2 linked regions of the Bombyx mori genome follow. The main gene of each other region encodes a partner of the protein of the gene in region 2 in a complex. Links are inferred from orthologs where the notes say so. Each region holds a gene or a part of one and is shown on either strand. Other genes may lie near its edges.

The links.
Region 1: protein bicaudal D (region 2) and lissencephaly-1 homolog share a complex: the UniProt entries of both Caenorhabditis elegans proteins name them as parts of the dynein-regulating complex. The link is inferred for Bombyx mori from reciprocal best matches to the Caenorhabditis elegans genes bicd-1 and lis-1.

The regions. Positions count from the first base shown.
Region 1 is NC_085114.1:11,232,343-11,244,187, forward strand, and holds part of lissencephaly-1 homolog, read left to right. Parts: intron 1-5,377; coding exon 5,378-5,531; intron 5,532-6,503; coding exon 6,504-6,650; intron 6,651-9,067; coding exon 9,068-9,224; intron 9,225-10,397; coding exon 10,398-10,575; intron 10,576-11,198; coding exon 11,199-11,334; intron 11,335-11,845. UniProt on the Caenorhabditis elegans protein: Positively regulates the activity of the minus-end directed microtubule motor protein dynein. May enhance dynein-mediated microtubule sliding by targeting dynein to the microtubule plus end.
Region 2 is NC_085125.1:2,125,042-2,136,886, reverse strand, and holds part of protein bicaudal D, read right to left. Parts: intron 8,653-11,845; coding exon 8,428-8,652; intron 7,193-8,427; coding exon 6,955-7,192; intron 5,817-6,954; coding exon 5,653-5,816; intron 4,642-5,652; coding exon 4,495-4,641; intron 4,005-4,494; coding exon 3,767-4,004; intron 2,974-3,766; coding exon 2,842-2,973; intron 1,542-2,841; coding exon 1,356-1,541; intron 434-1,355; exon of another isoform or gene 1-433. UniProt on the Caenorhabditis elegans protein: Part of a complex with dlc-1 and egal-1, which is recruited to the nuclear envelope by unc-83, where in turn, it recruits dynein to the nuclear surface and regulates nuclear migration in hypodermal precursor cells.

The sequences.
Region 1 (11,845 bases), on a different chromosome or scaffold from region 2:
TTTAACCCGATAGCCCAACCCTTCACTTAAAGACTCAATGATAAAATCAAAGATACTTGCTTAGTTACCGATACAATAATACGTATATATCGGTTTTTAGCATCCAAATGGGTTTTCGAATACCGATTATACTAGTCTATTTTAGCTCTCGACGAAAGAAGTCCAACGCACTCTTTTTATTAGCAGAATCATTATCGTACCTCATTAAATCATTATTGTCGGTCGATATCGGTTCAAATGACGTGCTTGTTTCCGTTCGTGTGTTACGATTCAATTCAATAAATACCATTCGTTGTGTTTTTGCATCAGTTATGATTTCATTTCGCACACAATGGCTTAATGTATTTGTGAATTCTTTAATGTTTATTCGTAAAAACGTCTGCGAAATATTAATATAATGTGATATTTATAATTTTACTGGTGGTAGGATCACTTGTGAGTCCGCGCGGATAGGTACCACCGCCCTGCCTATTTCTGCCGTGAAGCAGTAATGCGTTTCGGTTTGAAGGGTGGGGCAGCCGTTGTAACTATACTTGAGACCTTAAAACTTATATCTCAAGGTGGGTGGCACGTCTACGTTAGATGTCTATGGGCTCCAGTAACCACTTAACACCAGGTGGGCTGTGAGCTCGTCTACCCAGCTATGCAATAAAAAAAAATTGAAAAAAAAAAAAATTGAGTAATAAATTTCACTTTGACACGATTATCTATTGACATTCATGACCCAAAGTCTGTCTGAACGCAGGTTTTAATGATGAGAATAGTTTGTTTTATGATGAGATGATGAGAATACTCTTAGGTTAGATAAATAAAAAATGCAGTATAAATGAGTCGTCTATTATCAAAGGTGGCAATCTGTGCATTTGGACAAAAAAAAATTATTGATATGTCAATACAGATTGATTTGAATATAATCGTCTCCTTCAAAGAATACGGTTCAAAACCTGCATTAAATAAAGGTTAATAGTTAACCTGTTATTTATCTAAGATGTCGTTCCGAAGAGTTTTGTGACTGCCAATGGAATACAAAGTCAATAATTCGTTTTTCTGATTTACCAATAATTATCCAAAAGTCAGATTGCCGGCTTTGATAATAGTCGACTCAAATAATGAACGCTCTTGATCGAACTAAATCAAATTTTTTATCAGTACCTAACAAAACGTAAAGAAAAAAAATACGGCATTTCATTTATTCTAAGGAAACTAGCTACAATCTTATCAGTTAAGATAATAATCATTTCAATTACAGTCACACTAAGGAGTTCCGTACAAGGTTAGGTTTGTCTTCCGTTAGCTTCTGTTCTTCCAACTTCAAGGTTATCTTATTTTAGAGGCTCACAAACTTAAAAAAGCCATGTTAGCCTAAATTCCAACTATTGGTAAGTAACAGCCGGCGCTCACAAAGTTTGGCAATGCTAGGGTTAGTCAAAGTGCGTAACGCGTGCATGCTTTAATATCTATATCTATACTAATATTATAAAGAGGAAAGATTTGTTTGTTTGTTTGTTTCGAATAGGCTCCGAAACTACTGGACCGATTTGAAATTCTTTTTCCATTAGAAGCCGACATTGTCCCTGATGAACATAGGCAACTTTTTTTTTTAATTTTTTTTTTTTTGTTTCATTTGTGTTTTAATGTTTCCGAAGCGAAGCAAGGGCGGGTCGCGAGTAAGAGATAATAGTGTAAAATTTTCGAAGAATTACATTATCATAGTGATTTTTTTTATCTTAACTAAGTTACAACTATTGGAATTTCGAATCGTCGAAGTGAGGTCACTACTACTATTTCGGGTTCTTATCATTAAACAAAATGACAAGAAAACATGAGCAATTTATTATTATAAAAAGCAGTGGAATTTCCATAATTAAGAAACGGGTGAATTCAATCGTACAATTTATACCATAATTATAGATAAAAAATGAATGTGAACTTAAAATGATAAATAAATCTATAATTTTGCAAACGATTGATATAGTGTAAAAATGCTTGTAATTGAATCCGACGTCGCTTGAATACAGATTCATCACAAAATTATCCAGTTCGTATGCATGATGATACTTCAGTCATCATTCCCGATCCTGCGGAAAGAATGGAAAGCAGTCGACGTCGCCCAAAACACGTCATCTCGGATCCTCCCGATCCACAACGGTGCTTTTAGGTACTTCAAGCACCGGTCACCGTTCTCTTCGAACCCGTCGCTTGCGACGAAGGGCTCGACGAGTAAATTAACCCTCAGACACAGCCCACTGAGTTTCTCGCCGGATCTTCTCAGTGGGTCGGGTTTCCGATCCGGTGGTAGATTCTGCGAAGCACGGCTCTTGCTAGGGTTCGTGTTAGCAACGTCGTCAGGTTTGAGGCCCGTGAGCTCACCTACTAGTTAAGGTTACGCTGGAATAGCCTCTCAAGGCTACCAGCTTAGGTAGGAAAAAAAAGCTTCAGAGTCATAAAGTTGAGGTTCACGCTTTAATTGCGTTTCACATAGTCAGCCCCCATTGCAATATGTTTAATTGAATGTTATTTTTGGTTTTCATGCGGAGAGAAACATTCTATTTTATATTGTCAATACCGTGAGCGTTGGATCATCCCCCCTCCGCAGCATATTGTTTGTCTTACAACAACAACTCGGGTTCAACTAAAGTCGACAGCCCTAGTACAATAACTGGACTGTTAACGTAGGAAATGTACCGTGAAAGTTATTTTCTCAGGCGGTCCCAGATCAGCCCGCGCCACTATGCGAACGCACGAAACCACTTTCGCTCTATCCCAATACCGCGACGGATATTTTAGTATCGATATTTTCGTAATTATAAGTTTTAGTTGAACAGATAATTCTCACATAGAATATTATATTGATTTAAAACCATTTGTTTGTCTTTTCCACGCACTATTAAATGATGATGAACAAAATAATACTGTTAATTTCTAAACTGCTATATGTGAAAACACGTAGTACGATACTAGACACGTAGAAGTCTTCGTGGCCTAACGGACAAGACGTCCGGTGTATTCGTGTTGAGCGATACACCGGTGTTCGAATCTCAGGTGGGTACCAATTTTTCTAATGAAATACGTACTCAACAAATGTTCACGATTGACTTCCACGGTGAAGGAATAACATCGTGTAATAAAAATGAAACCCGTAAAAATTATAATTTGCGTAAGCACTGGTGGTAGGACTTCTTGTGAGTTCGTACGAACAGGTACCACCGCCCCGCCTTTTTCTGCCGTTAAGCAGTCATGCGTTTCGGCTTGAAGGGTGGGACAGCCGTTGTAACTAACTATACTTGAGACCTTAGAACTTATATCTCAAGGTGGGTGGCGCATTTACGTTGTGGATGTCTATGGGCTTCAGTAACCACTTAACACCAGGTGGGCTGTGAGCTCGGCCACCCATCTAAGCAATAAAAAAAACACATATAATAACATTAATTGATTGGAACTTGCTTGTGGGAGTATACGACAAAGAGAAGATCTTCCACCGAGCTGGTGATATTTTTCGGTAGACCGACGGTCCAATATTTTTGTTCGGAACTTGTATACGAGTATAATGTGGAAATTTTCTCTTGAAAATATTGTAAGCGAAATTCAGGTATCTGTCAAATATCTTGTGTTGTATGATACTAAAGCTACCGCCACTTTGCTTAAGAATGAAACAACTAAATATTACTTCGATACCAAATTTACGAAGAGATCATCGTTACAAAAAGAAAATGTAAAAAAAAAGAATCACACTGTATTTAACTGAATAGTTCTTAAGAAATGATTACTAAACGATGTTTTTAATGACAACCTCTTATGTATTATTTCATTTCAGACTATTTCAAAGCGCAAATATTATGCAAGTCTCCTTTTATTTCATTATTGACTATATACAATTATGTATCGGCAGAATGCAATGACGTAATCTCGGCCCCCACGTAAATGTAGCGGCTGGTTTCTAAAATAAACATGTTTGTCCACTGTGTCGATGTCCTTCCTTGGTCGACAAACAAAAGCTTTGGAAACATGTCACAAAAAATAATTAAAAATGATCTAATACAATATCGTACAAATACATCCTTGGAAGATATAATAATAGACATAAAGATAGATTAAATCTATAGTTCGTATGTAGCCAAGTCTTCCTCTTCTCCCTCTTCTTTTCTGGAGGCGCCGGAGTCCGACATAATCCGGTCTGTAACCCCCTTCGACCGGGTATGCGTAAACATATGCCCCAGCGTTAAAAAAAAGTTTGTATGTAGTAACTAAACACTATGTAAATTTCTTCTTAATCCCATAGTGTAGCATGAAAATGTCAATTTAGATAAATTGTTTTAATACAATTTAATCTAGCATTTATTCATAATTTAAAACAATATCTTTTTTGTGGATTTTGTTATCACATTATTTACATTTTATTCGTCTGGTAGGCAACCTTGCTTTTATTTTGACGAAACTAAACAAGTTGTTCATAATATTTGCATTACGTTGTCCTTTATATCACAGGTGATGATCTCATCTATATGTCAATAAAGAATTAGGTAGTTAAAAATGTTAACTCATCGTAACAAGTATTTACATTCGTTTTATAAAACACATTTATAATTATTGACTTACTTTTGAAATTGTGAAAATGCCGGAGAGAAAATTTACGGCGATAAAAGTTAACCTTAACCTATAGTGTAACTATACTGAGACATTAGAACTATATCTCAAGGTGGGTGGCGCATTTACGTTGTAGATGTCTATGGGCTCCAGTAACCACTTAACACCAGGTGGGCTGTGAGCTCGTCCACCCATCTAAGCAATAAACCTTTTATATTATAGTTTTCAAATGTGCGTGCAGGATTCGTCGTAAAATTTTTATTATTGACGATTTGTTTAGGTCTAGTGCGTAGCGTCTGAAACTCGGATCCGGGTTAGTGTAATGAATGATGCGATTAAGAATTAATAGCTCGGTTTATTAAATGCTCTAATTAATGTGTCTCTTAATAAAATTGCACTACCAAATTATCTTAGTTAAAAAAACACGCAATAAGTACCTCCTCAAAAATATTGTGCTCTTATGAATGAATACTGACATATTCAGAAACATATTCTAGGTCGGGTGATTTGTAATTATCATGTTTTTTTGTTACTACCTATATAAGTCAAGTTATATTAATTAATGTAACGCAAAATAAGTCAATATTAATAGATGTTTACTGTCGGTTTTATGGCAAAAACTTTTTTGCATTCATTGTTTTGTGTTGACGTCATACAAATGTTTTTTATTCTAAACATCCGTTTCATACGTTGTGTTTGTAGATCGTGAACAAGTTATTGTTGCTTAATGTAAACGTACTAAATAACTCCTTAATTGAGTAGTTTAAAAAAATAATCGATTATTTTCTTACAGGAACAAAGCGATTGCCGATTATCTAGGCAGTAACGGTTACAATGACGCGCTGGAAGCGTTCAAGAAAGAAGCCGACATGACCGGCGAGATGGATCGCAAGTTCGGTGGCCTCTTGGAGAAGAAATGGACCTCCGTCATCAGACTTCAGAAAAAGGTTTTTCTTTATATATGTCGTAAACAGAAAAAACAGTCTATATGATCATAATTTATTTGATATTACATACATTTAAAATTAATACATAGTACATACAGACTGTATGAGAGAGGGGGAACTTCGAATCTATAGATACTTTACACCGGAGGTCAGTCGTTGGCAGCAGGGCGTACTGACTACCCCAACCAACTTCACTGCGGCGCAGAATGCAAACCACTGCGCTAGTTTTCCCAAGTAATCCTATAAAAGTGGACCGAGTACAGAATGAGACTGTATGCGATCCGGCTACCATCCGGCGCCATGTCGAGTCCAGGTCACACGGTGTGAAATATGTTACTGGCCACCCTGCTGCGGCTCACCGTGTTTAGGGACACGACCTTCAGTAATGAAGAAAGCGACGAAGAAGACATTTAAAATTAAATTTTTTTTTCTTCATTCTGAATATTTGGTTGCTGGTACATGGAAGTGATCTGCAAAACTCTCAGTCGGCAGTATCTAGGTCGTGACGTTTTCTAGGGCGGACGGTCGATGCCAGGGAGTTCGACCATTCCTCTCGATGAATTGCTTATTAGTCTGACACGACTTACCTATCGACTATCACTATACGAATAGTAATTCGAACGCGTTTCAAGGCGATAGAAGACTTATTAATAATAATAATTGGTTGCACTCTTATGAGAATTTTCAAGTAATTTCAATGTAAATGTACCGTGTATACAATCCTTGTAATTACGTACAGGTTTCTTTGTGATTCAAAACTTGAGACATTACCCTTTGTCGGGACATGTTAAACATCTATAAAATTATTCGAGTTAAAGCAGATGTTCCAATACAGCTGCAGTCAGTATTTCTAAGTAATTAAGGACTATACAAACTCAGTGCGGTTCGTAGCTTTGAAGAGTATGTAGGTTTTTTTTTAAAATCATAAACGAGCACACGCAATATGTAACATTGTTGTAATGTTTGTATAAGGTTATGGAACTGGAATCTAAATTGTCGGAGGCTCAGAAGGAATTCATCGAGGGTGCTCCAACGCGAGCTAAGCGCACTCCAACAGAATGGATTCCGCGTCCACCCGAGAAGTTTTGTCTCACTGGACACAGGGCCACTATTACTAAGGTAATAAATACATTGCACACAAACATAAACTACACTAACAATCTATATATTAATACGTGAAGCAAAAACTTTGTATCCCTTTTTACGAAAATTGCGCGGACGGAGGAGTATGAAATTTTCTACACTTATAGAGAATATAGAGAAGTGCACAATGCTAATATTTTTTTAAAATAATGCCTATAAGATACAATAAATCAATAAAGAAAACATTACACACACTACATAATATGTATTTGACGCACACACGCATGCATACTATTTATTGTCAAACTTTTGTTTTTGACGTATGTTGTCAAATTGAGAATAGATTAAATATTGTTTGGTTTTTGTTAATATTTTTATAGTGTAGTTTTGGCGAAATTTGTGATTATCGAAGTATAAAATACACACATAATAGTGTACAAACTTACAATCCCAATTAATTATAGTCGAATTTCGACTACTGCGGGACCTCTAGTGAAATTAAATTTGCAAACAAAACAAGCACGTCCGTTCTAAATTCACGTAAAACGAACAACAAGAAACTGGAAAGTTGTGTCTTGGTAATTATTATTGGTTTAGTTACCTTTGAACTTTTACTTCAAACCATTGAGGTCGCATCTGAAAAAACCAACCAATACATAATTTAATGAAGATAAAATAGTCATACGTCAACGCAGAAATATTTTTAATGAAAGAGGAAATGAAGTGCCTTTGTGTGTTCATGTTTAAAAAACCACTTTTTTTGAGGCTCTCTTTGGCCGTAGATTGTCATAAGAGCTCAGTAATTATCTGGTCTTAAGTAGTAAACAAAGACCGTCGAATATAAAATCGAAGTCTCGATTATCTTTTAATAATACAAATTGACCATTGTGTACAAACTCAACACATTTGTTTTGCCTAGACGTGCGCACATACATGGCTTATGTTGCAAGCCAGTGTTTTTTTTACTTGTTGTTATTTTTTGTGTATCCTTTTAGCTTGTAATAATGTGTATTGTATGCTTAAAAAATAATTTTATAAAAAAAAAATATTGTCCATAAAATTTTCATATTGGATCACACAAGACTACTTACCGTGCGCCCTAGCCAATGGTTATTATGCAAATATCTTAGATTTGATTTGATGGTATTCCTTCGCTGTGGAAGTGGTCCGTGAAAACATATTCTGGTACTAGGGCGTCGTGTGAATCCGAATGGGTAGGTAGGTACCTCCACTCCGCCTATACCTGCCGCGAAGCAGTATTGCTTTCCACCCTACAGGGTGGGGCAACAGTGGTACTACAGGATTGGGTCTTTGAACTAATGCCCGAAAATGGGAGGCGGCATTTAAGATGTTCATGTCTGTTAAGCATTCAACACCAAGTATGTTATGAGCTTGTTCAGTCGTGTAACTATAAAGACATATTTATGAACAAAAATATTAATGTATTTACGGTACGGACAGTAAGTACCTGCTAAAGAATTTGACCTATGCCATAGTAGTTTCGTTTGGGACGGGGTTGTTGTTGCCGGGTCTCTTACTCAGTACATCATCGATGCATATAAATAAACTATAATTCAACATTAATCTTTAGTTAATCTAGTCTAGTTCTAATCTAAAACATGAGTCTATTTCTAAATCTTTTTTTCAATATTTCGTCCGATTTTCACGAGTCTTAAACAAATTCAATCTATTACAGTTTCATGAAGTTTATTGTGATTTTAAACTTATGGAATGCTTTGTTTGCTAAATACTATATACATTTTTCGTAATACTTTATTTGGTAAATGTTACTTAAAACATTAAAAACGTAAACACTTAAAATATCGCGATATTAAACTTAAAAAATTATCTCACACTATAATTTAGTTTCATAAAAATATCATGAAATTGCATTAATGGACTAGACAAATTTGTAACTTTCTAGTGTAATGAAAGTTTTGAGCACGAGTCTTGTACGAGTTTTGCTGTAGGGACTAGATGTTATTGTTTAGCTTTTTGCTGTCAGTTTCCCCTGTCGTTTCCAGACAATCGTATCTAGTACGCTTTCTATGATGTATACGAATGATGAAACCGTTGAGTGCATGTTTGATTATTGCACGCACGCGTTTTTAATGTAAATTTGCAATTTTTTAATTAGATTTTTAGACTGGTGGTAGGACCTCTTGTGATTCCGCGCGGGTAGGTACCACCACCCTACCTATTTCTGCCATGAAGCAGTAATGAGTTTCAGTTTGAAGGGTTGGGCAGCCGTTGTAACTATACTAAGATCTTAGAACTTATATCTCAAGGTGGGTGGCGCATTTACGTTGCAGATGTCTATGGGCTCCAGTAACCACTTAACACCAGATGGGCTGTGAGCTCGTCCACCCATCTAAGCAATAAAAAAAAATGTTTTTTTTTTTTAAAACTACGTATGTGATTGTTATAATAGTGTGAACAAAACAAAATTGCAGGTAATATTTCACCCCGTGTTCAGCTTGATGGTGTCCTCGAGCGAGGACGCAACCATAAAAGTTTGGGACTTTGAGAGCGGCGAGTACGAACGAACATTGAAGGGTCACACCGACTCCGTACAGGACATTGCATTCGACCACCATGGAAAATTACTTGGTATGTATAATAATTACATTCTCATTAGTTTCAGCATCGTCAGCCTATAGCAGTCCACTGCTGGACATAAGCTTCTCCAATTGCTCGTCACTGAGCATGATCCTCAGCATCTCTCATCCAGCTGCTGCCAGCCATCCTGCACAGATCATCACTCCACCGAGCCTGAAGGCGTCCTGCACTGTGTTTGCCAATTCGCGGTCTCCACTCATTAGTTTTATCCAAACCTCAAAAGGCAGAGGCAATGCGCTTAGAGTCGAACATCTGTCTCATCTCTCTGCATAATAACTGCTGGTCCCGTTAATTAGGCAGTAAAAAGATCGGTGCGAATCTGTTTAAACTAAATAATGCAGTAGCATAGTGAACCATCAGGTGCACAGAGTAAAGACGTATTCTTTACATCTTCTAAAACTATATTTGATTATAAGGCTTTTGCATAATCAAGTCACACGACGAGACGGTCCTACCACGATCAATATATCAGTTTCCGTTCTTTCTTTCGTTGTGACATGTTACTGGTAACCTATAGTACGTACCAGTTCGAGTTACTCAGGACACTGATCAGTCTCAAAGAGAAACAGGAGTCCCGCGTTAAAACGCTAACGCCCCCAATATGATGCTGCCTTATTATTTGTACTATTGTGTTAGATTTTTCGCTGAATTGCATTAGTTTTATGTGTAACATAGGGGACATATACCCCACTTTTAAGATAAATAAAAAATCGAGGTTAACTTTTAATCGGAATGAAATTGAGGGACTTTTTGGCGGAAAAGCGAGGAGTGAAATTGTGTGATTAGTTTTATTTTATCTATTCAGTGTTTCTTTAGGTTTAAATTTGTAATAACGGTGGCTTATTAACTGTTTTCATGAAGGTGTACAAATTTGTGAAAATAAAACAAAGCCGCTGGAAACTTCTTGGGATCCTCCAAAAAGTCTCAGTAAATGACCACCATTTTACTGAGATTATATTTCATCCCATATCATCTCATTTAATTTCATTTCATGCCATTGTTTTATATTAATCAACTTCATTTCACTTCATATTAACAGTTTTTATATAGTGCAGTTTTCATTAAAATTACAATAAGGTTTGACCCAAAGGTCTTAGTTACCAGGTCATAAAATCCCTTAAAAGAAAGAAATTGGACTGACTATAAAAACGTTTTCCATTTCAGTGTCTTGCAGCGCCGACATGTCGATCAAGCTGTGGGATTTCAATCAGACGTTCGAGTGCATCAAGACTATGCACGGACACGACCACAACGTCTCCTCGGTGGCTTTCTCTCCTAGCGGCGACATCGTGTACTCCGCCAGTCGGGATAAAACTATCAAAGCCTGGGAGGTCGCCACTGGGTAAGGAATCTACACGAACAGAACTCAAGGGAATTGATTATTTTTGGTCCAATAGCCATGTAATATCATTGAAAGCGTGAGATCCACGGTCTCTTGGGAATCGCGGGTCTGTAATATAGCCGTACATTGCGAACAAATTCTTCACGGTGGAGTGAGTGAATGAACGAATGATATAACAAAAAACAATTTGGGATGTTTAAAATGAAATGTTGACATCAGACCCTTATTTTCGGTCAGGGGACCGAACCTCTTACAAGGTGTCCGCACCTAGGGGGCACGCGGTGTGTGTGGGACTTGCCGGTCCGCTGCGGTCGGGAACAGACCGCGGGTCCAAGGATATTTTTAGGATCCTACCCATCAAACGACTCCCCTTGCACTCTCTCTCACCCGGCGTCCGATCTTCGAGAATCATCCAAGAATTTATCTAGTTTTCGTAACTATAATAATTATGTCATTAAAAGTAGATAACGGACACTAATAATATTCACAATTTAACATAATTTTTTTCTTTTTTTATTATAAACACTTAAGTTGGAAAACTCTCAATGTGACAACGTACATTCAGATTTATAAAATTTAAAGTGAGGTCACTTAAATATGTATGTACCTTAAATTTTGAATAGGTACTGCATCAAGACATACAAAGGTCACCGCGAGTGGGTGCGTATGGTGCGCGTGTCGCCGGACGGGACCCTGCTCGCTTCCTGCTCAAACGATCAGACCGTGCGCATATGGAACGCGGACACTAATGAATGCAAGGTACGTACCTTACCTACTAACTTACCTACCTTAAATAGGTCATTATGATCGTAAGCTGTCAATACCTACCTCCCAACTCACATTTTTACTGAAACTAGTGGTCCCCCAGTAGTCGAAATTAGACTATAATTAATTGAAATTATAAGTTTGTACACTATTATGATTCTATTGTCAAAGGCTATTATACTTCTATAATCACAGACAGGTTAGCGTGGTATGGAGTACGGATAGGTAGAGAGAAGGTGCATGTAACTAGATGTATGGAAATGGTAGTGCAAGGTAGAGGGGAAAGAAGTCGACCGAAGAAGACATGGTCCATCCATCCATGTTTGAATGACGATATGAGAGATAGAGGAATGAGTGTTGAAATAACGGCTGATAGAAGAGAATGGAAGAGAAAAATTTGCTGTGCCGGCCCCACCTAGTGGGGATAAGGTGGAGAAAAAGAAGAGAATCAGATTTCGCCAAGGCTACACTATAGACAAATATTAATAAAGACAAACGATATTTA
Region 2 (11,845 bases):
TCATCGTCTAAAGATGCTCTCTTGTACAATTTATCTTTCCATATCGAGTACAAACTGAGATTTTTATTTCGATATTGAGATAAATTTGGATTCGAGATTTGCGACTTCGCTATGGGAAACTGTTTTCTTTTGCCATTAAATTTAGTATCGTATTTTTTGGCATTATATTGTGCGAAGCAATTATTCGAATGCTTCAAACTAGAATCGATTTTGTAGTTCGCACGTTTCAACGCTGTATCGATATAATTTCTGTTCGATTGGAGACCGGTGATATTTTCAAAATAATCGGTAAGCTCTTTAACGTTCCTTCCGTTACAGATTAATTGAGTTACGTTTGTATTACTTTTTTTTCTTTCGTCAGCCATTTTTATTTTTATGTTGGCAATATCTTTTGCTTTTTTTGAACGATTTTCACAAATCGAAGCTACGGGACCTGTCGATATTTTTTTTATTGCTTAGATGGGTGGACGAGCTCACAGCCTACCTGGCGTTAAGTAGTTACTGGAGCCCATAGACATCTACAACGTAAATGCGCCACCCACCTTGAGGTATAAGTTCTAAGGTCTCAGTATAGTTACAACAGCTGTCCACCCTTCAAACCAAAACGCATTACTGTTTCACGGCAGGAATAGGCAGGGTGGTTGTACCTACCCGTGCGGACTCACAAGAGGTCCTACCACCGGTAAGATTATTAACCCATACACTGCCATGTAGGTCACCGGTGTCCTACGCGGCGTACTCAAGTGATTATGTCGATTTCTGTTACTTAGCGCCTAGATTGCTTAACTTTGCCTTCTTTTGTTTGATAATGTATGTTTTAGTCTTTTAGGTATCTTAGAAATAGATTCATTGTCAGTATCTTCGGATTCGTCTTTCCTAGTCTACTGAATATACGTAAGAAAAACAAAGAGAAATCGACATAGTTGCTTCAGTGTGCCACGTAGGGCATCGGTGACCTACACGGCAGTCAACGTGTTAAGAGCAAAGTTTTGTTTTATTGCCCTTGTAGGCAGACGTGCACACGGCCCACCTAATGGTGAGTGGTTACCGTCGCCCATGGACTTCAGCGATGCCAGGGGCAGAGCCAAGCCGCTGCCTACCGCTTAATACTCTCCACAAGCCTCATTTGAAGAAGGACATGTCATAACGCTCGGGAAACACCGTGGAGGGGAGTTCATTCCATAGCCGAATGGTACGTGGCAAAAAATACCTCTGGAAACGCACTGTGGATGACCGCAGTGGCTCCAGGTAGTATGGATGGACCCTACTCCGGTGGCGGGCGGTGCGATGGTAAAAACAAGAAGACGCATGTAAGGTGCGTGGTTGGACACCCCGGGGCGGGGGTGGGTACTGACTGCGCGGCTGGCGGCTCCTGGCGCCGAGCGCGGTGTCGAGTGCGGCGCGCAGGTGGTCGAGCTGGTCCAGCAGGGTGTCGGCGGCGCGGGCCACGGAGCCGGCCGCGCGCAGCCCCTCCAGCGGCCCCTCCGCCAGCGACAGCGCCTCCGCCTCCGCCTCCGTCACGCCGGACTTGGCCTCGCGACCTGCACACCAACCAACATGCCTATGTAAATATTGTTGCTCAAACAGTTAACTGTTATCGCATTAAAACTGTATAATCTCAAAATTTACTAATTGTACAAGAGAGTGTTTTAAAGGTTTAACATGTAACATTTTTAATATTAATCCCCTTTGCAACTTTTATTTTTAATTTTTTACCAGTTACATTATCTGTCTTTTACAGTAAGATAAAATTATGTATTAATTTTGTTAATACTAGTCAAAGCATAGGTAAACTAAAAAAAAAAACTAAAGTACGCTCTCTTGACAATATTTATGAGAAAAATACTGGGGATACCAAATCGATGCCTTCAATGAACACTACTCTAACTCCAAATTCGTAAGTTTACAAGAGGAGAGTTTAAACGAAAAAAGTTGATAAATATATCTGCAATAATAAAGATTTTATGGTTTTTTCTTGTGTAACTAGTTGATTTACTCTTGCTTCGAACCCCATTAATAATGAATTTCTAATACTTTTAAAATAGTGAAACGATCTGCGTGAAAAACGAGAATTTCCAAATTTTGAGTTAGAGTAGTGTTCATTGGAGGCATCGAAATGATTCCGCATATTAACATAATTTGGAATATTTTAGGAAATTGTGCACTTTAATGCGAAAAGACGATATATAATATTTTCACGTCAACTTGAGCAAACAAAGTCCATGACGTCATATGTGGTTATTCTTCGAATATATCATGCATAAATAATGCATGATATATTCGAATGCATAAATATGTGACTCGCACATCCCTCTTCCCCTAAAAGGGAAGATATATAAGACCTTAATAAGGCCTGCCGTCTTGTATGGATCAGCTTGTTGGACAACGAAAGTGGCGGATGAAAGGCGATTGCATGCAGCAGAGATGCGAATGTTGCGATGGATGTGTGGAGTAACGAGAATGGATAGAATACGGAATGAATATGTTAGAGGAAGTCTGAAAGTGGCACCTGTGATAGAGAAGCTGAGGAGTGCACGTTTGGGATGGTATGGACATGTGATGAGACGAAATGAAAATGAGGTTGTTAAGAGAGTGTTAACTATGAATGTGGAAGGATTTAGAGGAAGAGGTAGACCTAAGAAGAAATGGATGGATTGTGTGAAAGACGATATGGGTAGGAGGGGAGTGAGCGAAGAAATGGTATATGATCGAAGAGTATGGAAGGAGAAAACATGTTGCGCCGACCCCAGGTGACTGGGAAAAGGGCAGGATAATGATGATGAAATGATGAAATAACATTGGTCATGTCTGTTGGCAACAAGTGACGTCACGCGCACTGACCGTCTGCGTGCTCGAGCAGCAGGCGCTCCGGCTGGGTGCCGTTGACGGCGCACACGTGGTGGTAGATCTGCGCGAGGGACTCCGCCGCCGACTGCAGCGCGGGCGCCGCCGTGGACAGCGCGCGGCCCGCTCCTGCAACGGGCAAAAAAACATTTGTCCAAATCACACGCGGTAGAAGTGAAAGCTTTAAAAATTAAAATACAACTATCCTAAATGTCTAAGTATGTATATGTAAAATTTTGTCATTAGTAAATAATAATTATAAATCATCTTTTATAGTATGAGGTAGCGCTTTCTGTGAACTGATATTTTAACTTCACGTAGAATCCTAAATTAATATTCACTACAAGAGGTTTCATACACACGTTAGTATTAAAAAATCTCATAGATGGCGCTGTATTAAAAAAAACACTACACTGAGAACATCTAATGTGTTCTATCTCATTCTCTCGCCGACTGAATCCTATACATTTATGTGTTTGTGTCTCTATGGACTTATTTTTTCGTTTCATCGAGTTTGAAATCACAACGATTCTAAAGAAGTTTCACTTCAACAATGCTGATACTGTGCTCCTACACAGCCGGGGGGGCTGGCCTCAGAACAGCTCCAGAGTCAATCGGCTTCGATATACAATATTATTTAGAAGGAGTTTACGGTTCACCTGCTGTTAAATGGTTACTAAAGCCCATAGACATCTACAATGTAACCGCCGTCACACACCTCGAGACACGAGTTCTAAGATCTCAGTATAGTTACAACGGCTGCCCCACCCTTCAAACCGAAACGCATTACTGCTTCACGGCAGAAATAGGCAGGGTACCAGTAATCGAATTGAAGTTGATTGTAGATGTGACGTCAGAATTGGATTTAATCGTTCTGTTGCAGAATCTAGACCGCGTCCCTGGGTTCTCTGGGTGTATTCACCTCCAGCGAGGGTCCGGAGCAGGTCGGTTTCGGCGGTGAGGTGCTGCGCCCTGAGCTCGGCCTCCGCCACCCGGTCGGCGAGCTCTGCCAGCGCGTGCCTCTGCAGGGCGGCGCCCGACTCCGTGGGGGCGGCGGCCGCCAGCAGCTCGGACAGCGAACTGCACAGGGACTCCAGCTCGCCGCCAGACACGCGCCACCACGACAACCACGCGCCGGCGCGACTCTTGCCGTCCTCCTCCTGGAAAATCAACACATTTCATTAACGTTTGTCAGTTTTTGATTAGTATATTTTTTAGCCCCAATCATAATTTTAAATAAATTTTATGTTTATAATGATCGTGTAATATATTAGATGTGATTACAATTTCAATTGTTTATTTGAAAAGTTATTTTTTATTATATTTTGGTTTGACACAGTTTCTGCATTAGCCAGCGTCAAGTAATAAGATTTTTATGTTTCGTCTTTTTATTTATTTTCAGTTTAGAATAATAAAAAACTGAAAATAAATCAAACGAGATGTGATGATTTGTGCACTTTCACAGATACTAAACAGTTAATAAACCACCATTATTACACATTTAAACCTGAAGAAACACTAAATAAACAAAATAAAATAATTCACACAACTTCGTTCCCGCCAAAAAGTCCCATTTGAAAAGGTTGAGAATTGTGATATATTCGAGCGTGTGCTCCTAGTGTATGTATAGCAGTAAGGGCGTGGTGTTACCGCGGGCGGCGCGCAGTCGCGGTGCAGCTTGACGAGCGCGTGCGTGCGGGCGAGCGCGCGCGTGGCGCCCGTGCGGAGCGCCTCGGCCGCCGCGCCCGCCGCCTCCGCCGCCGCCTGCGCCGCGCGGGACGCCGCCGACACCTGGCTCTGCGAACACACCACACCGCTCATCACTATTCTGACCATTTATACTATTCAAAGAAAACTGTCAAATCTACTTTTGAAGGTAGTCGTTAAATAACAAAAATGACGTCATCGCCATTAATGTGCAAAATAAATAGCAAATTCTCTTCGTTCTTCTCTGTACCTATTTTTTATATTAATTACTACGCCATTATTACTATCATTCTCAATACAATGTATCCATGAGGATTACTGAGTCAGTATTCGCCACTAATTTTCTAAAATTAGGTAATAAATAAATAAAAAGTTATTTAATACGACCAACTAAATAGTTTGACAGCCACACGTTTGACGTCATCATCGACCGTGCTCTCTCTGTCTTGCGTGAAATTGAAGCGCATATCAGTCTTTTTAATTTTAAATTTTATTTGTAAATGATGGTAATTATTTAACCCCTTCAATACAATATTAATGTAATACAGGCTACTTGTATCGTAGGTGTCAATCTAGAATTGAATGAGCCAGCAATGTATTGCACACGGCCGCTGTACATTGCTCTTTATAGTTTAAGAATAAATCATTAATAGTTCAAAAAAACTAACAAAATACGCTTGTATAAAAAATCCAACTAAAAAATATAAAATAAATTTTAATAAATTTGAATTAAAAATATAGTGTAAGAAAAAATGATTTTATTATAAGAAAAGTGTGGGGTGCGTGGTATAGTAGTTACGCGTTACCCCACGATTTTTTACAATTTTTAATTTAAATTTATTAAAATTTATTTACTATTTTTTAGTTAGATTTTCTATAAAAGCGTATATTGTTAGTTTTTTTAAACTATTATTTATTTTTTAGTTGAATTTAATTTTTTTTTGAATTGAATTATCATCGATCCTTAATAAGTATACCAAATTTCGAGTTAATCCGGCGTTTTGAAGGGGGTCAAAATCATGTTCATAGATTCCGTTACAAACATATTATTATAATACATACGTCTGAAGTTAATAAAAGCGTATTCATAAAACGACATACGTTTTCGCTGTGGGCTTGTTCTAATTGTTTTTCGAGTCGCGATATTTCGTGCAGATGCACTTCCGAGAATAAGTCGGCGTGGTGGTCCGCCATGGCGGTGGCCAGCTCCGCCGAGGATGAGCCGCCGGGCTCGCTCTCGTCCTCCGTGCCGTCCTCGGGCATACCTGCCAACAGCAAGAGCAGCTATATTGCTTAGATGGGTGGACGAGCTCACAGCCCACCTGGTGTTAAGTGGTTATTGGAGCCCATGAACATCCACAACGTAAATGCGCTACCCACCCTGAGACATAAGTTTCAAGATCCCAACACAGTTACAACGGCTGCCCCACCCTTCAAACCGAAACGCATTACTGCTTCACAGCGGAAACGGGCAGGGCGGTGGTACCTACGGCGCGGACTCACAAGAGGTCCTACCACCAGTAATTACGCAAATTATAATATATATTCATAACTGAGTCACATCAATGCCGCAAGCTTCCCTCGGCTTCAGCTCTAATGGTAGAGCCCGGTATAACTCTTTATGCAACAAACAGTTTGGATTTCGTCGTGGCCTAAAGGATAAGACGTCCGGTGCATTCGTGTTGAGCGATGCACCGGTGTTCGAATCTCAGACGGGTACCAATTTTTCTAATGAAATACGTACTCGACAAATGTTCACGATTGACTTCCACGGTGAAGGAGTAACGTCGTGTAATAAAAATCAAACCCGCAAAATTATAATCCGCTTGGGTAGGTACCACCGCCCTGCCTATTTCTGCCGTGAAGCAGTAATGCGTTTCGGTTTGTAACTATATTGAGACCTTAGAACTGATATCTCAAGGTGGGTGGCGCATTTACGTCGTAGATGTCTATGAGATCCAGTAACCACTTAAAACCAGGTGGGTTGTGAGATCGTCCACCCATCTAAGCAACAAAATTAAAATAGAATTATCGTAAATGTCTAAGTACATATAAAATTTTGTCATTAGTAAATAATTGTAAATCATTTTTTATAGTATGAGGTAGCGCCCTCTGTGAATTGATATTTTAACTTCACGTATAATCCTAAATTAAGATTCACTACAAGAGGTTTCATACACACGTTAGTATTAAAAAATCTCATAGATGGCGCTGTATTAAAAAAAACACTACACTGAGAACGTCTAATGTGTTCTATCTCATTCTCTCGCCGGCTGAATCCTATACATTTACGTGTTTGTGTCTCTATGGACTTACTTTTTCGTTTCATCGAGTTTGAAATCACAACGATTCTAAAGAAGTTTCACTTTAAAAAAACAACATCTATTGTTGTTGTCTTCTTACCTCGGATAGTGTAGGCGAGGTTCGTAATGTTGTACGCCGCCTCCTTGCTGAGGTGCGCGTCCAGCTCCTTCTTGGCGGCGAACTTGGCTTCCCTCTCAGCCTGCAGCGCCTCCAGCGCCTCGGCCAGCTGCCGCTCGGCGATGCGCCGCAGGGCCGCCGTCTCCTCGGCGGTCGCGCGGGCCGCCTCCGCCTCCTCGCGGAGTTGACGAGCTTCATATTTCAATCCTTCGAATTCCACCTGGTGCAATCAGATAACACGATAAAGTGATAACTTTTTCTGTATTAACGCATACGGATTGAGGTGCGAGGATGCTTGGCTAGTGAAACCCAGCCCACTGAGTTACTAGCCGGATCTTCTCAGTGGGTCGCGTTTCCGATCCGGTGGTAGATTCTGCGAAGCACTGCTCCTGCTAGGGTCAGTGTTAGCATCACTCCGGTTTGAGCCCCGTGAGCTCACCTACTAGTTAAGGTTACGCTGAAATAGCCTCTCAAGGCTATCAGCTTAGGTAGGAAGCCGCGAATTAGCGAACCGCGTCCCTCCCCCCAAACTCCAAGTACAGATTTGATATTTTCCACTCGTCAGAAACAGGACCAGGTAGTAATCAAAATAATTAACAAGCCATATGTAGTAGCATTCCCGATTTTGGATTTTCTTGGGGGTTCCGGAAACCTTTATATACGAAACAAGAACACCACTACTGAATATATTATTTACGAGGTTGAAGAAGCCGCTTGACCAACGAAGCGATCAAATACGCTCGGACTTGCGGACATAAAGTTGTAGTATCGAGTGCAACATCTAACGAAAGCAGCATCGGGATACATTGAAGTGTGTATACTTATATATTATAGCATAGTATTAGCATAGCATTTAGTATATAACATAATTAATAGGTGTAATCTCGTATGTCACCCTAATAATGCGGACCACCCAGAAACATAGGCTTCTTCATAATTGTAAACTAGGATTAAGATGATTATTAAGCACTAGCGGCCCACTCCAGCTCCGCTCGCGTCTTTAACAAAAATTTCAACGATATTTGACGTTGTTTTTTTTTAAATAAAAGAACACATATTGCGGTATAGCTATAATAGTTAGACATATGATGTTGCGACACTTTTTGTAAATAATAATGTGTTCTACAAAGCCGTAGTACATTATTTTATTCTATCATCAATAGTTTTCGCAGGGCATGGGATGTAAAGAATATTTTAGGTAATTTTTTTACACCTTGGGTTACATTATTGGAGTTTTAGTAAGGATCCCTAATATTTTTCAAAAAAGATTTTAGCCGTTATTTCACTCGGGAATAGTGTAGCTTCCAAACAGTGGAAGAATTTTTCAAATCGGTTCAGTAGTTTCGGAGCCTATTCAATACAAACAAACAAATCTTTCCTCTTTATAATATTAGTATAGAAGTATAGATGGAATACAACATTACAACGTGTCGCCGTCGTGTGCCGAGTACTGACCTGCGACGACCTCAGTGCTGAGACTTGCTTCTGTAGCGAGATGTTCTCATCCTCCAGGTCGGTGATGTCGCTGAGCTGCCGCTGCTCTCGCCGCCGCGCCTCCCGCAGCTCGGCTCTTAGGGCGGCGCGTTCGGACTCGCGCGTCGCTTTGTCGGCGCCAAGCTCCGAACTTTCCGTCAGGAGACGGTCGCGTTCACTCACCACTCGGTCCAGCTCGTGGCGGAGCTGCGGCAGTTAATAGATAAATTAACAAAACAAAATCTAGATCGTAGGAAGAAAAATAATCTTTATTTCTAATTGATAAAGTCATCTAATTGATAATATTTATTTAAAGAATCTTTATTTCTAATTGATAGTCATCTAATTGATAATATTTATTTATATATATTTTTATATGTATATATTTATGTATATGTATTTATTTAAGTACGAGTATTTGTATCTATAAATAGTATATACACATATGCTTAAGTAATATCATTATCACACTACACCTACCAAGGTTCATCTCTGCACCCCCCTAAGGTAGACCGTCAGAGAATGCCTATGGCATTAAGTCCGCCTTTAGACTGTCTAGTATATAAAGTTATAAATAAATAAATAAGTAAAAAATAAAAACCCAAGGTAATTCTTTTTTATTTTTTATTGCTTAGATGGGTGGACGATCTCACAGCCCACCTGGTGTTAAGTGGTCACTGGAGCCCATAGACATCTACAACGTAAATGCGCTACCCATCTTGAGATATAAGTTCTAAGGTCTCAGTATAGTTACAACGGCTGCCCCACCCTTCAAACCGAAACTCATTCAACACTTCACGGCGAAACAGGCAGGGTGGTGGTACCGACCCGCGCGGATTCACAAGAGGTCCTACCATCAGTAAATCAGTAGTGCATTACTCTTTTTTGGTGGCGTAGTTGAAAGAGATCCCAAATTATTATAGTTACTTTTTATCTGAGACGTGAATATTAAAAAAATACATAATGTTAAAATACCATGCTTGACAATTTAAGAATGTGTTTAAGCTTTAAGTAATCTCATGAAATTTGGTATTTTAACCCATTTGTCGTTAGAAACACGTCCAGTTGACACGAGTCAACAACCATTAGCACTGATATTGGCATTCGTGGAACAGACCTTCCCATTTTTAGTGCTTTATGAGCGTGGTATGTTTTTATTATACTATATTATAAACATTGTCAATGTGTGACTCGATAAAAGCCGCATGTTGACAACGGTATTCCCGGTATCAACGGTTATTACTTCCGTTTCAAGACCTGTGGACTGTCGATATTACTAAATAGCTACACGCGAATATTTCCAAAACAGTTCCGATCCGCTTATTGAGATAAACTTGACAAAAGAGCAGATGAGTTGCTGCACTGGTTCGTGCAAACCAACGGTCTCATTCGGCGTCTGTTTCCTAGTGCCCTCAAGAAATTACCGGTCATGGAGGACGGTCATCAGTCATCTAATTGCTCCAAATCATAAGGAAAGCTATTGAAGGGCTTTTGTTACCTACCCTGGTAACCTCGAGGGGTTATTGAACGGTGTAGGCGAGCTAACAGGGCTCATTCTGGCGAATTTGCACATCTCTAGCAAGGGCAGTGCTTCAATATACCACCTCATCGGAATCGCAACCTACTGAGAAGATCCAACGAGAAATTCAATGGGCTTTGAAAGGCGTTTTCGCTGATCCACTAAGCAGCTTAATGGCTAATACACTGAAAGGGACAGAAGTTGTGTGAAATTAGTCTTTCCACCCCTGATTTTACGGCCGGCAAGTAAATCCGCAACCAACTAAAAGAACTAGATTACAATAACCACACGCGAGGTAGGGTCGTGTCATAAAAATATCGTTTTCAAAAACGGAAAGCATTTCTCTCAATAAACACACAAATTCCATTAGCTGATTGGTTGTGTCCGTGAATTAGTGTCTGGGCGCGGCCGGACTGACGTAAAACGCAGACCAGTTGAAGGTAATAAACACGATACAGTAGTGTATTTCTAGACTTTGTATTTCAAAAAGTTATCTAAAGTTTTTGTGATTTTATTAACAAATTAGCTGTACCCGTCCGCTTCGCTAGGCATTTAAAATTAACATTATTATTTCACACCCCCTCAAAGACTCTCATCATTTACGCCCCCGCAACTGGTGTAGGGAGTCCAACACTTATATAAATATTAGCCTATCCATTAAGTACATGTATTTTCTACATGAATACCAAGTTTCAAGTCAATCGGATGCATGGTTCAGTAGTTCTAACGGAACATCCGTAAAAACCACTGTAGATTTATTATATACTATTATACTAGTATAGATGAATTAATATCGCCTAATTTTATCATTTTTACCAATTTTAGCATTTCGAATCCTTTAGAAAATTTGTCAGGAATTTATCTTGTTTAGAACCGGTTACTTGATGGTTATTTAACTAGATAATGACGGAGCTTTGCTCGATATTTTGTTGTTGTTGATAAATTGTGTTTTTTCGAATTTATATTTAAATACGAATTACATATTGATAAAATGATGAAATATGAATAATATTTTTCGATCTTAACGACAGAATAATAAAAAAATATGAACTGGTTATTTAAAGAAAAAAAATCAAAATTATCGATAAAGTTGATCATTGAAAACACGAATAAAATAACATTTTCTGAAAATAAATCGTAGCTAGATCGATTTATCGCCACCGAAATCCCCTGTACACTAAATTTTATGAAAATCGTTGGAGCCGTTTCCGAGATTCAGATTATATACAAGAATTGCTCGTTTAAAGATATAAGATAAGTATAAAAGACACCCACCTCAAGGCCGTTCATTTTAGGTACAATCAACATTTGTTTTCGTAAATTCGACTTCGAATAGTTTAGGAAATAAACGTTGAATTCACAATGGTAACGATTACCCAAAAATGTACACTGAAATATTCAACTACCCACATGAAACTAAAATTATTCGAATATGTCAAGACGTCTTTTTTTTATTTATACCTAAAATCTCTATGGTTCCTTCAAGGCTAAAAGCTATTTTTTAAAAAAAAAATTATTGTCCTTGTAGTCAGACGAGCATACGGCCCACCTGATGGTGAGTGGTTACCGTCGCCCGTGGACTTCAGCAATGCCAGGGGCAGAGCCAAACCGCTGCCTACCGTTGAGTACTCTCCACAAGCCTCGTTTGAAGAAGGACAAGTCATAGCGCTCGGGAAACACCGTGGAGGGTAGCTCATTCCAAAGCCGGATGGTACGTGGCAAAAAAGATCTCTGGAAACGCACTGTGGATGAACGCAGTGGCTCCAGGTAATATGGATGAACTCTACTCCGGTGACGGGCGGTGCGATAGTTGATGGAATCATCTCAAATAATTCCTTAGAGCACATATTAGTATAATAAATTAGGTAAAATAGGGACACT